2 linked regions of the Arabidopsis thaliana genome follow. The protein of the gene in region 1 interacts with the protein of each later gene in a pairwise test. Each region holds a gene or a part of one and is shown on either strand. Other genes may lie near its edges.

Region 1 (4,657 bases):
CCACTATAACTTTTTTCCTTTTTGTAAAAGTTGAAAAAATATTTATCTATCTTTCGCAGATTTAATAAAATCCTTTTTAAAATGTATGGAAGTTGACAAAATATAGTCTCCATCTTTTGCAGTAATAAAGAATCTCATCATGTATTACAGACATTAATTCTACAAATGTAGATTGGAATATTGCTTGGTTGTTGGAGGATTTGAGATGCAAATAGCTTGCTGCGTAGGAATTTATAATATCATCTAATGTTGTCCTTTTTGTAACTTCTATCATGTACACTATTTATGCAGAGAGTTCTGGGACAGGGAACTTACGCTGCGGAAAACTTGGCAAGGACCCCTCAGTGGAAACGAATTTCCTGCCTGACAGGTGATCTCTAGCTCTCTTGTTTATCTTTATCTTCCTTGTCTGCTTTTGCAGTAAGTCTCAACTTTAGCTGTGGTGTTTTGAGGTTGCTGTTTCAGTGAGAGGGAGGCGGAGGAACAAGCTGAACGTGAAAGGCTGAAGAAGCAGTGGCTTCGTGAACAAGAGCAGATTAAAAGTTGTCCATTTTCTAGTTACCTTCTAATTTCAGTTGTAATACTTGATTCAAGGAAGATTGTCTAACTATTTTTTGTTTTTCAGACGAGCCTCTTGAGATTACTTACAGTTACTGGGATGGGACTGGCCATAGACGAGTTATTCAGGCAAGCACAAACTACACCTTTGTCATACTGCTTGAGCCTTACGTGTGTGATCATTTACTTACCTTTATGATATATACCCATTTTACAGGTCCGCAAGGGTGACCCAATTGGGAATTTTCTGCGGGCTGTTCAGCAGCAGCTTGCCCCTGACTTCCGGGAGATTCGGACGGCATCAGTGGAGAATTTACTATATGTAAAGGAAGATCTTATTATTCCACATGTGAGAACCCTTTAAACTTACCAAGTTATCCTCCCTTTACTATATAGGACTTAACGATAACATGGGGTATTTTTTTGTAAATGTAGCAACACAGTTTCTATGAGCTGATCATTAACAAAGCGAGGGGGAAGAGTGGGCCGGTATGCCTTGTCGACACTTTTTGAAATTCAGTTTATATAGAAATTGTAACCGAGACTCACTTCTCCTACATTGTTCTTGTTAACAGCTGTTTCACTTTGATGTGCATGAAGACGTGAGAACAATAGCAGATGCAACGATAGAGAAAGACGAGGTATGTTTCCCTGACCCGATCACATGAGAAAAGAGAGTAGTTTGATGATGGAAAGTTGTTTCTAAAGCATTGTAAAATGTGGTGTTAATGAAGTCGCATGCGGGTAAAGTTGTGGAGAGGCATTGGTACGAGAAGAACAAGCATATATTCCCTGCTTCCAGATGGGAGGTAACTCTCAAATAATCTTTTCTCTGCACTTTTCATTCTCAGCTAGACTTTGAATCTTATTGTTTTGCATTATAATTGTTCAGATTTACGACCCGACAAAGAAATGGGAACGGTACACAGTCCATGGGGATTAATTCTGGACCAGAACATGCTTTTGATGGATCGTTTGTTGACATGATTGATCAGATTTGGTGTAATAGTAGTGGAATGTTCATGGCATTTTTAATGCTCATTCTTCTTCCCTCAATGTACCATTACACTCGTTTTTTAATTTTTCTTAAAATAATGGAACTGTTTGATTTCTTTAGTACCCGTTATTTTGTGATTTTTCATGTCATGTGAAAATTTAGTATGAGATCTTGTGATTACAAATTTATAATGAGAGCACACAAATTAAGAATGTTAGAAACCAATTTGTGAATCCCCTGATGTATACAAGGCAACAAAATCACACGAAATAAATTGAGAGACCAGACAAAACGCTGTCGTTTTGCGAGGGTTTCTATGGTTGTGTTGTTATCTTTTTTTTTTCAGAAATAAATTAATTTAGTGTGAAAGAGCAAAAGCATAAATAGCATCGAGAGAGACACTGTTCTCATTCATTCGCAAATTCGTTGACCATATTTGATAGAATCAAGCGATGATGAATCTTAGGGTTTTGTTCCTCGCTCTCCTTCTCCTTGCATCTCCTCTGCTTCAAGGTAGGTCTCCTCTCTCTTCTCTTTTTGTTTTTCCATTGATTTTGTAGATCTAGATCCGTTTTGTTTCCTTCGCGTTTTCTGATTGGATTTCACATTTGATCTCTGTTTCCGATCTGGTTTCTTAAAGGATCTGGTAACGTTATGTCCTTATTCATCGATCCGAGTGAAATTGAGCTCCTTTAACAATACTTTGCCTTCGAACATTGTAGCTCTGTGTTTTGTGTGTTGCTGCCAATCCTAGAGCAATGTGGTTTCAAAGATACAAACTTTAAAACGTAGATCGAATCCCCTAGTAATAGATTCTTCAATAGTGTCTTCGTTGCATGTCTTTATTTTCTTACTTTACACTCGCCATTGTTCTTGGGTAGAGGAAAAATTGCAAATTGTAACATTTTCTGAAGAAGACGTTATGCTTTAGTGACCTGATGTGTTTTCATGTTGTTTCTTTTGATCAGTTGCTAGATGTCAATCGGATGCCGAGGATCATTCAAGTCTTGTTGACGATGTTGTGGGAGAAAACACTGATGATGCGGTTGAGGAAGATGACCATGATTTGGATATGAACTTGTCCTCATTTCCAGGAGTTGAGACTGTTTGTGTTTTCCCCAAAAACAGTGCCAAATGTATGTGTTTACTCCTCCTTTCTTACGTATTTATCTATCCGTTGTTGTGATCTTAAAGATTTGGTTTTTAATGCTCTTTGTTTCCTGCAGTGGTTCCAGCTGGAGAAGAGACTGAGCTCCTTGTTGGTCTTAAAAATGAAGGTAGCTAATACCTCTTTTAGCTTTAGCTCTCTTTGTGTTGAGTTTTCTGTTTTGTTGTCAAAACTAAATATCTCCAAATTGGCTGTGACTTAACAGGGAAAACTAGAGTAGGTGTGATGGGAATTAGGGCCAGCGTTCATCTTCCTTATGATCATAAGTTGTTGGTTCAGAATCTAACCATGTTGGTAAGCATTTGACTAGGAAACTATTTGTCTAAATATTTGTTATCATTTTATTGTTTTTTGTTGTTCACATGCTTGCATTCTATTGCAGAGACTTAACAATGCATCCATCCCAACGTCTCTTCAAGCAACATTCCCATACATCTTTGCAGTCAGCCAGTACTTGCAGGTAAACATATTCCACAATAGACAATACATCATTCTCGTTCATTCTTAAAATACAATTGTTATTGAGAAAAAACTCCGAAAGATCTAATCTTGCTTGGTGTTGCACAGCCTGGAGCATTTGATCTGGTGGGTTATATCATATACGATGTGGAAGGAAAGCCATACCAGAGTGTCTTCTACAATGGAACCATAGAGGTAGTTGAATCTGGAGGTCTTCTCAGCGGCGAATCTGTTTTCCTTTTAACACTCGGAATCGGTCTCCTCCTCCTCCTCGGTCTATGGGCATACAGCCAAGTTCAGCGTCTCACCAAGGTAAACCATTGGATCTCTTTTTCTGGTTCATCATTTGTGCAGTTAAACATTCCTTTGATAATCTCCTCTTTTACCAGAAAACCAAAAAGGTTTCCAAGGTGGAAGTAGGAACTAGGTCTACCGAGGCATCACTCGATGAATGGCTCGAGGTTCGCTTCTCTCTTTGTACTCTTCCTCCTCTTCCTCCTCTTCAGTGTGATTGAATAATCTGATTGAAGGGTATGTTTTTTTATCTTCAGGGAACTACTTTGGCCAAGACATCGTCTGGGAAAACAAAGAACAAGAAGAACTAAAGTAGAGCTGTTTTGCTCCTTCCAGTTGTTATAGACTCAGCTTCGGCGTTTTGAAAGAGTTTCCAAGTTTAAAGTTCAGTCTTGAGGAAATTTAGGGTTTTAAACGACACTTTTTTTGTTCCAGCATTGTACTCTTTAGACAATCTTTACTTCTTGTCATAAATATTCTCCTCATGAAACAAGTTAACTTATAAATGGTTTAGATCTGTTTTTCGTTGCTAACATCAGTAACTTTTTTAGCAGTAGATTAACATCTTTATACTAATGTTTTAGTTCATCAAAACAATTACAGAGGAAAGTATTGGACTCTCCAAATAGTTAAGTTGAAGATATGATCAGGAGCAAGTACAAGAGAACCACACTCCTTGGGCTTGTGTTGTTCAGGAGAGACTGGGCTGCGAGTTGCGACTTACACTGAGTTGTGATTCACACTAAAGTTGTGACTTATCTAAGCGATGAATGCACTATGGCTCAAGGTTTGGAGTGTGGTATGTTTGAGAATCGAAGATTTTTATCTCTCTGTCAGGACTATCGAGCACTTAGAGTGTGGCTTGAGATTTGATTTAGATTATTACATAGAAGAAACTCGTGAGTCAAGCTTACTCAAATTGAAAAAAAGAATCACAGCTTAGTTACAAAGATCTTTAATCAAAGACCCTTTTATCTCTCTCTGTCAAACCAGAGCTCACGAATCATTTTTTTTCTTTCTGTTTTCCATTATTAGTTCAAGAAGAAGATGTAAGAACACAACAACAACAACAAGGTCGCTAACCTCCCTTTTATTTCTCATCTCATCTGTTCCATGGAGACTAGCGATTTCCGTTACTGATAGTTCTCAATCAAGCAGCAACTTTCTTCGACGTGACTGAG
Region 2 (5,922 bases), on another chromosome or scaffold:
TGAATCATGACATAGTAGCAAATGTTTCCAGAAATATTCTAATTAATAATGGTTACAGAATCTTCTTAATTGCAATTCTCTATATGCATATATGTTTTTAATGGCGATGCTGATGCTGAGGTTGAATTGAACTGAACTTGATAAGGATAAAAATAAACACTTGGGATATAATATAATATATCTTTTTCTGTAAGATCTAATTCTGTTTTTGCTTCTATGAATTATGACCTTATGGCAAAATCAGGTGGTCAATAATACTAATAAATGTCCATAGTGTTTGTCTTTGACAATTAAGTCTAACTAAATCGCATGTGATTCTCCATGTTCTGTATCAAATCTACTATATCTATCGATTACAGGTACATGAACCGAGATAAACCTTGCAACTCGTAATCAAGAATGACGAAGAAGATTAACAAAACAGAACAGCGACTCTGTTTTGATTCGTATATAACACTTGAGTTACTAAACCAGGATTAAACCGTTACAGCCAATTGTAATTGACTTGCACGAACCGAAACCCTCTGTTTCAAGGCACTATTTTACATTTTGGGTCTAAATGAATATTGAAGGTCTGTAATAACTTTCACCCTCTGACAAAACATAAAATAAATTACTTGAAGACTATGATTTGATTTGTTTTGGGGATAAAGGAAATAGGTTATTAGAAAGAAAATAAGATAATGGAAACGATGAAGATTAAGAATACTGAATATATATAGAGATCAAACAGGTGATATTTGTTGTCCATAGGATGAACACACAAATCAACACTCCATCATTAGCCTCAAAATGGGATACAAAATTAAACACTCCGAAAATCCAATTTAGTTGCAGTAACTTAGATAACAAGAAATCCCAAAAGGTTCTTCCATAGCTCATACTTATATATGATGAAGAAGCAATCACCATTTTAAGGCGATGTAGACCTTGTGGAACCATTTCCACTACTTGCTACCGGTAATCTCGATTCAATATCTTCATTACTTTCACTCTTGACTTTATGGTTTTGTTGTTTCACCTTCTCCCTTTCTTCTTCCTTCTCACTCACCTCTCTGTCTTTCCCCCACAATACGCCATAGAGACCAATAACCACAAGTGCTGATCCCATAAACCTAATATACATATATCATATAAATTCATCATCATCATCTCGTTTATATAATGTTTAAACACACAGAGAGATAGATAAAGATGTATAGAAACATACGTGCCGGTGTAGAGTTTCTCTTCAAGAAGAGCCCAGCTGAAAATGGCGACAACTACGAGAAGTAAAGGGCTGAAAACAGAGACGTACAGAGGACCTTTCCTCTGCATAGCCCATGACATTAGGCAGAAAGCTAACGCAGACGCCACCACTCCCTGCATGATCCGTGTTTTATACTAGTGTCATATATTTTTAGCTTAAGATTGTTATCTAATGATCATAGTATATGTATGTGGACTTACGGCATAAAGGGCGGATATGAAGCGGAGAGGAGAGCTGAGAGACCAATCAGAGATTGTATGATCGGAGATCAAAGCAATGGCTCCACATTGGATACTTCCCATCAAACACATTAGTAGTGTGCTCGTGTACGGTGCTGCAAATGTTTCACTCATCTTCGTCTGTAACCAAAATAATATTTATCATAACCAAATGAGAATTTAGTTTCATTTTCCATTATGTGGGTTCAAATTGTTTGAAGCTACATTTTTTTTTAATTAAGTAATTAAGTTACCTGGATAATGAACCAAGCGGCCCAAGAAACGGCAGCAGCCATAATAAGAAAAGGTCCCAAGAAGAAATTAGAATGGCCAGAACTGGAACCATGTTTCGTGATGTTTTCAGCGTAGGCCCAATGGATCTTGGATTCTCCAATGCCGATGGTGTGACCATGGTAGAAGGAGAGAACCATGGCTCCGATCACACATACTAGCGTCCCTATCACTTTGGCTTGTCCTGATGCCTTCTTGATCCCCACGGTTTCTTGTCTGAAAAGAAAAAAGTCTTGTGTTAAGCAATAATCATAAACGAGTATTGTCTGAAGGAAACTTAATTAAGATTAATTTCATATAACCTGAATATTGCGGCGAGGAGGAAAGTGACCGCTGGTAAGAGATTAGTTAAGGCACAAGCAATGGTCGGAGATGAATTCTGAAGTCCTACGAAATATAGCACTTGGTTTCCAGTCGCACTGCAAAGAAAATCAATGTAAATCGCTTTATAACAAAGTAAGATTGCAATTAGTAGGTAAAGTGTATGTAAGATACCCAGTAATGGAGCAGAAGAAGACTTGGACAAGAATCCTAAGTGTGATCTTCGGTCTTGTCTTCCTGCACAAGAAACCGTGTATGAAAAATTTATGTTTTCATTAGTCCACTAATCATTATTAATCAATTAAAGCATTTCTCATTGAATGTAATCATGCAACTAATCCTAAAACCACCCGGTTAAGTTAAACCGAGACTCAAGAAAACAATCAAATTCACTTCTCATATCATATGAAGAGATTAGAGTGGAGAAACAGAGTAAAAAACGTAATTGAAGAAGCACGTGTCTTGGCAAATGAAGATGGCACGGCACCTGACGACGCTTAACTCACCTGGCATCATGATTTGTTTGTCATCATGTGCTTCGGTTTAAGAAAGAAACGTGACGCGTGGATTGTGTGAGACTGCGTCACATTTCTCATTTGTTTCTCTCTCGGAAAACGGAATTAATGATAATGTAACTACTTAGGTTTCCACATACCACCAAAATCATTGACGGTACCATGATTATGAAAAAATAACGGTAAATACTAATCCCAATAAACAAAAGAAAAAAGCTAGTGTCTACTACATTTCAACTAATTAATCAGCGTCACTTTACCACTTTTTTGTCTTTTTTTTCTTTACCACATTTTTCTTCACATTCTGAATTAATATTATTCATCAAGAAACTTATAGCTTACCATATACCATTATATGCGTATTCTATCGTAATCTCCGGAAAATAAGACGATGTCGTGCTAAACTTTTTTTCTTAATTATTAGTTTAGTGTTTTTAATTTTTAGTCTTCTAAATGGAGGTTCATTTGTTGCCAAAATTGTAAAATAATAAGAAGTAAATTAATGAATTTAAATCTATTCAACGTATAGTACTGATGAATTAAGTTATTAACATATATCAAAAAAAATCTTGACCACAAAAAAAAAAGACTTTAAGCATGCAGTACTTCTATGTCAATAAATTAAAAAGCTTGATTTTTGAAACTTTTGGAAAGTAATAAATTTAGGTGACGCAAGAAAGTTCAAAGACGTAAAAACGTTCTACATGAGACTCACAAAGCCATTTAGTAAATGGTTTTTCGTCGTTAATATTTTAATATACGCACTCACCATTTTGACGTTTATGTTGATGAATATGATTTCATCATTTTCTACTTTCGCAGTTAAGACAAACTTGAAAACACAAAAAAACAATGCTAAAAGAAAAATTTAGCTAATCAAAGTTTAGCATTTCTTGCTGATCTTTGTAAAACATAGACTCACCACCTAAAACCTAATTACTTTTAACCCCAAAAAAGTAATAAAAACACCCATATGCTTTATTCAAGAATTAAAACAAATTCAACATTTCATCGATGCAATTGTTTTAATCGTGTAATTCATACATGTCTAAAATCGTTAGTTGATCAAATAAGATGTATATGGGCAGATATTAGTATGGTTTTTTTTTTACCGTTCGAGAAAAAATGCGACCGGAAAAGTGGCGATAGTGGCAAATATCTGACGATAAGCGACCAGGATGAGTGGCTTCATACCGGCCTCCATAGCCATCTTCGACGTAATGTTCATGCCTGCGTAGCCGATTTGCACCAACACCATCGCCAAGAACGGCAACATATCTGATTTAGCCATCTCTCACTCTCTTTTATTTTATTCTTCCAATTTATGTGTTTATGTGTATCTCCAAAATATGCCTCTCTCACTATTACTAATCAATAATAATAGGTCAAGAAACCAAGAAAAAAAAATAAGGGAGAGAGGTGGATTCTCTATATCATTTATTAGTTTCCCCAAATCTATATTTTATTTTGGTTCGACCTTATATTTATAGCCAAAGATGTATATATACACACATTTATATATACATGCACATACATATATTTATTTATATACATACATATATATAGAGAGAGATGTTTTAAACAGAAAGGTGAGAAACGGTTCGAGAATGAAGTTTGCTTGTAACACTTGGACTCTCTTTAGGGCATAAGAACACGAAACAATAGGTGATATGAATCATTTGATATTTTTGGCAATTTATTTAAATTTTCTCCTTGCTGATTACTAATACAATCCAAATTGGCGTTTTGTCAAAAAAAAATCTAACTTATTTTCCTCGTTTTAATCCATTTTTTTGGTTTCCGTTTTTTCATGGGTTTGGTGGAGCTTGTGAATGTCTTTCTCAAGCTTCAAGCAATCAATTTGCCTTTGCTAAAACTCGTTTCTGTGATATTAAACCAAGGGCTTGGTTTATCGCTTGATTAACAATATCGAATTAGTATTATCTTACGTATTTTGAATTGATTTTCATTATATCACTCTTGCTTTTTGTCAAACTTTTGTGTGTGTAATATATATCATAAATGGTAAATTAACTATTTATATCCCAAAAGGGTTGGAAGTTGGGCATGGATTATCGAATATATATTGAATGGCATGCATCTTATGCAATATAAATATAACTAGGTAAGTATCCGCAAAATGTATGCATCTAATTATTTCTAAAATTTAATATATAATTAAATTCATGATTATATTATTACATGTTTCAGTTCGACTGCATACTGTATATATACTATATATTTTTAATGTATGAACTAGGTAATCATTTACACAATGGGTTGGACATACGTAATTTAAGAATATCTTTGAAAATAACTGGAATTTATATCATTAAAAAGTAGGATATAACTAGAGTGGCTAGTATAATTTTCAGAAAACTAATTAATTTTTAATTAAAAACTATACTGAAACATAATGATTTATATATAAAACTTTAGTAAACTAAAGTAAAATGCATAATGAAAACTTGTATAATATAAGAAAATCTCATATACAAAACAACATATATTGTTGGGCCAATTATTGGTCTTAAAAGGCCTCATTTATTCTTAAAAGGCCTTTCCTTAGGTGTACAGTGACTTCCTTGAGCAAGAATGTCATTTCATATGGATAGAGATAAAACATTGGTCTGTAGTCAGCACATAGGTATACCAAACACGTTAAACTTTTTTGTTGGCTGAAATTTGAGAAAGTAAGTGATGCTTAACATTTTGCTGGATATCAGTGGTTAATTTTTATACGAAATGCTTTTGGAGTTGAAGATGAATAAATTATGAGTAATGCTCCATTTGCATAAGTCAAACAAGCTAGCGTTGGCGTCCAGATGATTAATTTCCGCGTCCTCTTTGGCTTCCAAGTTCCAACGTAAATTTTCGCCGCATATTTTTTCGATCTTATCTTTTCGTTGTTACGTACAAAAGGAAAATTCCATTGTACATTCGTTTTGGATATATACTTTAGGATGCATATGCATATTTATGTATGAACAATTAGCATCTACATTGGAGCTGGAGCCAACAGTAAGCTTGAGTTATGTGTCTGTCACTGTCAACCACCAACATACAAAGTCTTAGGCTTTGTTTTTAAATTCACTAAAGAATCACACTCACACACTATAGCTTAAAATAAGAGAAATAAGGCCCACACACTTAAGGCTTACCATTATTACAATTTATTACAAAGCTTTCGATCTTCACTCTATCTTGATCAAATCTCTACTAGCAAGTTACAATGGCTACTCTCTCTCTTCACTCCCACTCTTTCCTTCTTGTTCTCCTTCCGTTTATCCTCATTCTCCGACAAAACTTGGCAGTGGCCGGAGGATGT

The links.
Region 2: the proteins of AT2G21160 (region 1) and UMAMIT25 interact in a protein complementation assay, tested with the Arabidopsis thaliana proteins (one large-scale study listed by BioGRID).

The regions. Positions count from the first base shown.
Region 1 is NC_003071.7:9,066,421-9,071,077, forward strand, and holds AT2G21160 (Translocon-associated protein (TRAP), alpha subunit), read left to right. Parts: upstream 1-1,831; 5' UTR 1,832-2,007; coding exon 2,008-2,068; intron 2,069-2,523; coding exon 2,524-2,691; intron 2,692-2,781; coding exon 2,782-2,832; intron 2,833-2,928; coding exon 2,929-3,017; intron 3,018-3,105; coding exon 3,106-3,183; intron 3,184-3,290; coding exon 3,291-3,494; intron 3,495-3,571; coding exon 3,572-3,643; intron 3,644-3,733; coding exon 3,734-3,787; 3' UTR 3,788-3,873; coding exon of another isoform or gene 3,874-3,890; 3' UTR 3,891-4,053; downstream 4,054-4,657. Other genes in the region: XCT (XAP5 family protein), read left to right, coding at 292-370, 466-542, 626-687, 776-907, 994-1,047, 1,134-1,199, 1,293-1,367, 1,451-1,501; TIM (triosephosphate isomerase), read right to left, coding at 4,627-4,657. UniProt on the Arabidopsis thaliana protein: TRAP proteins are part of a complex whose function is to bind calcium to the ER membrane and thereby regulate the retention of ER resident proteins.
Region 2 is NC_003070.9:3,025,438-3,031,359, forward strand, and holds UMAMIT25 (nodulin MtN21 /EamA-like transporter family protein), read right to left. Parts: upstream 4,113-5,922; 5' UTR 3,886-4,112; coding exon 3,707-3,885; intron 2,317-3,706; coding exon 2,254-2,316; intron 2,178-2,253; coding exon 2,061-2,177; intron 1,975-2,060; coding exon 1,722-1,974; intron 1,609-1,721; coding exon 1,450-1,608; intron 1,363-1,449; coding exon 1,211-1,362; intron 1,116-1,210; coding exon 914-1,115; 3' UTR 625-913; downstream 1-624. Other genes in the region: AT1G09390 (GDSL-like Lipase/Acylhydrolase superfamily protein), read left to right, coding at 5,827-5,922.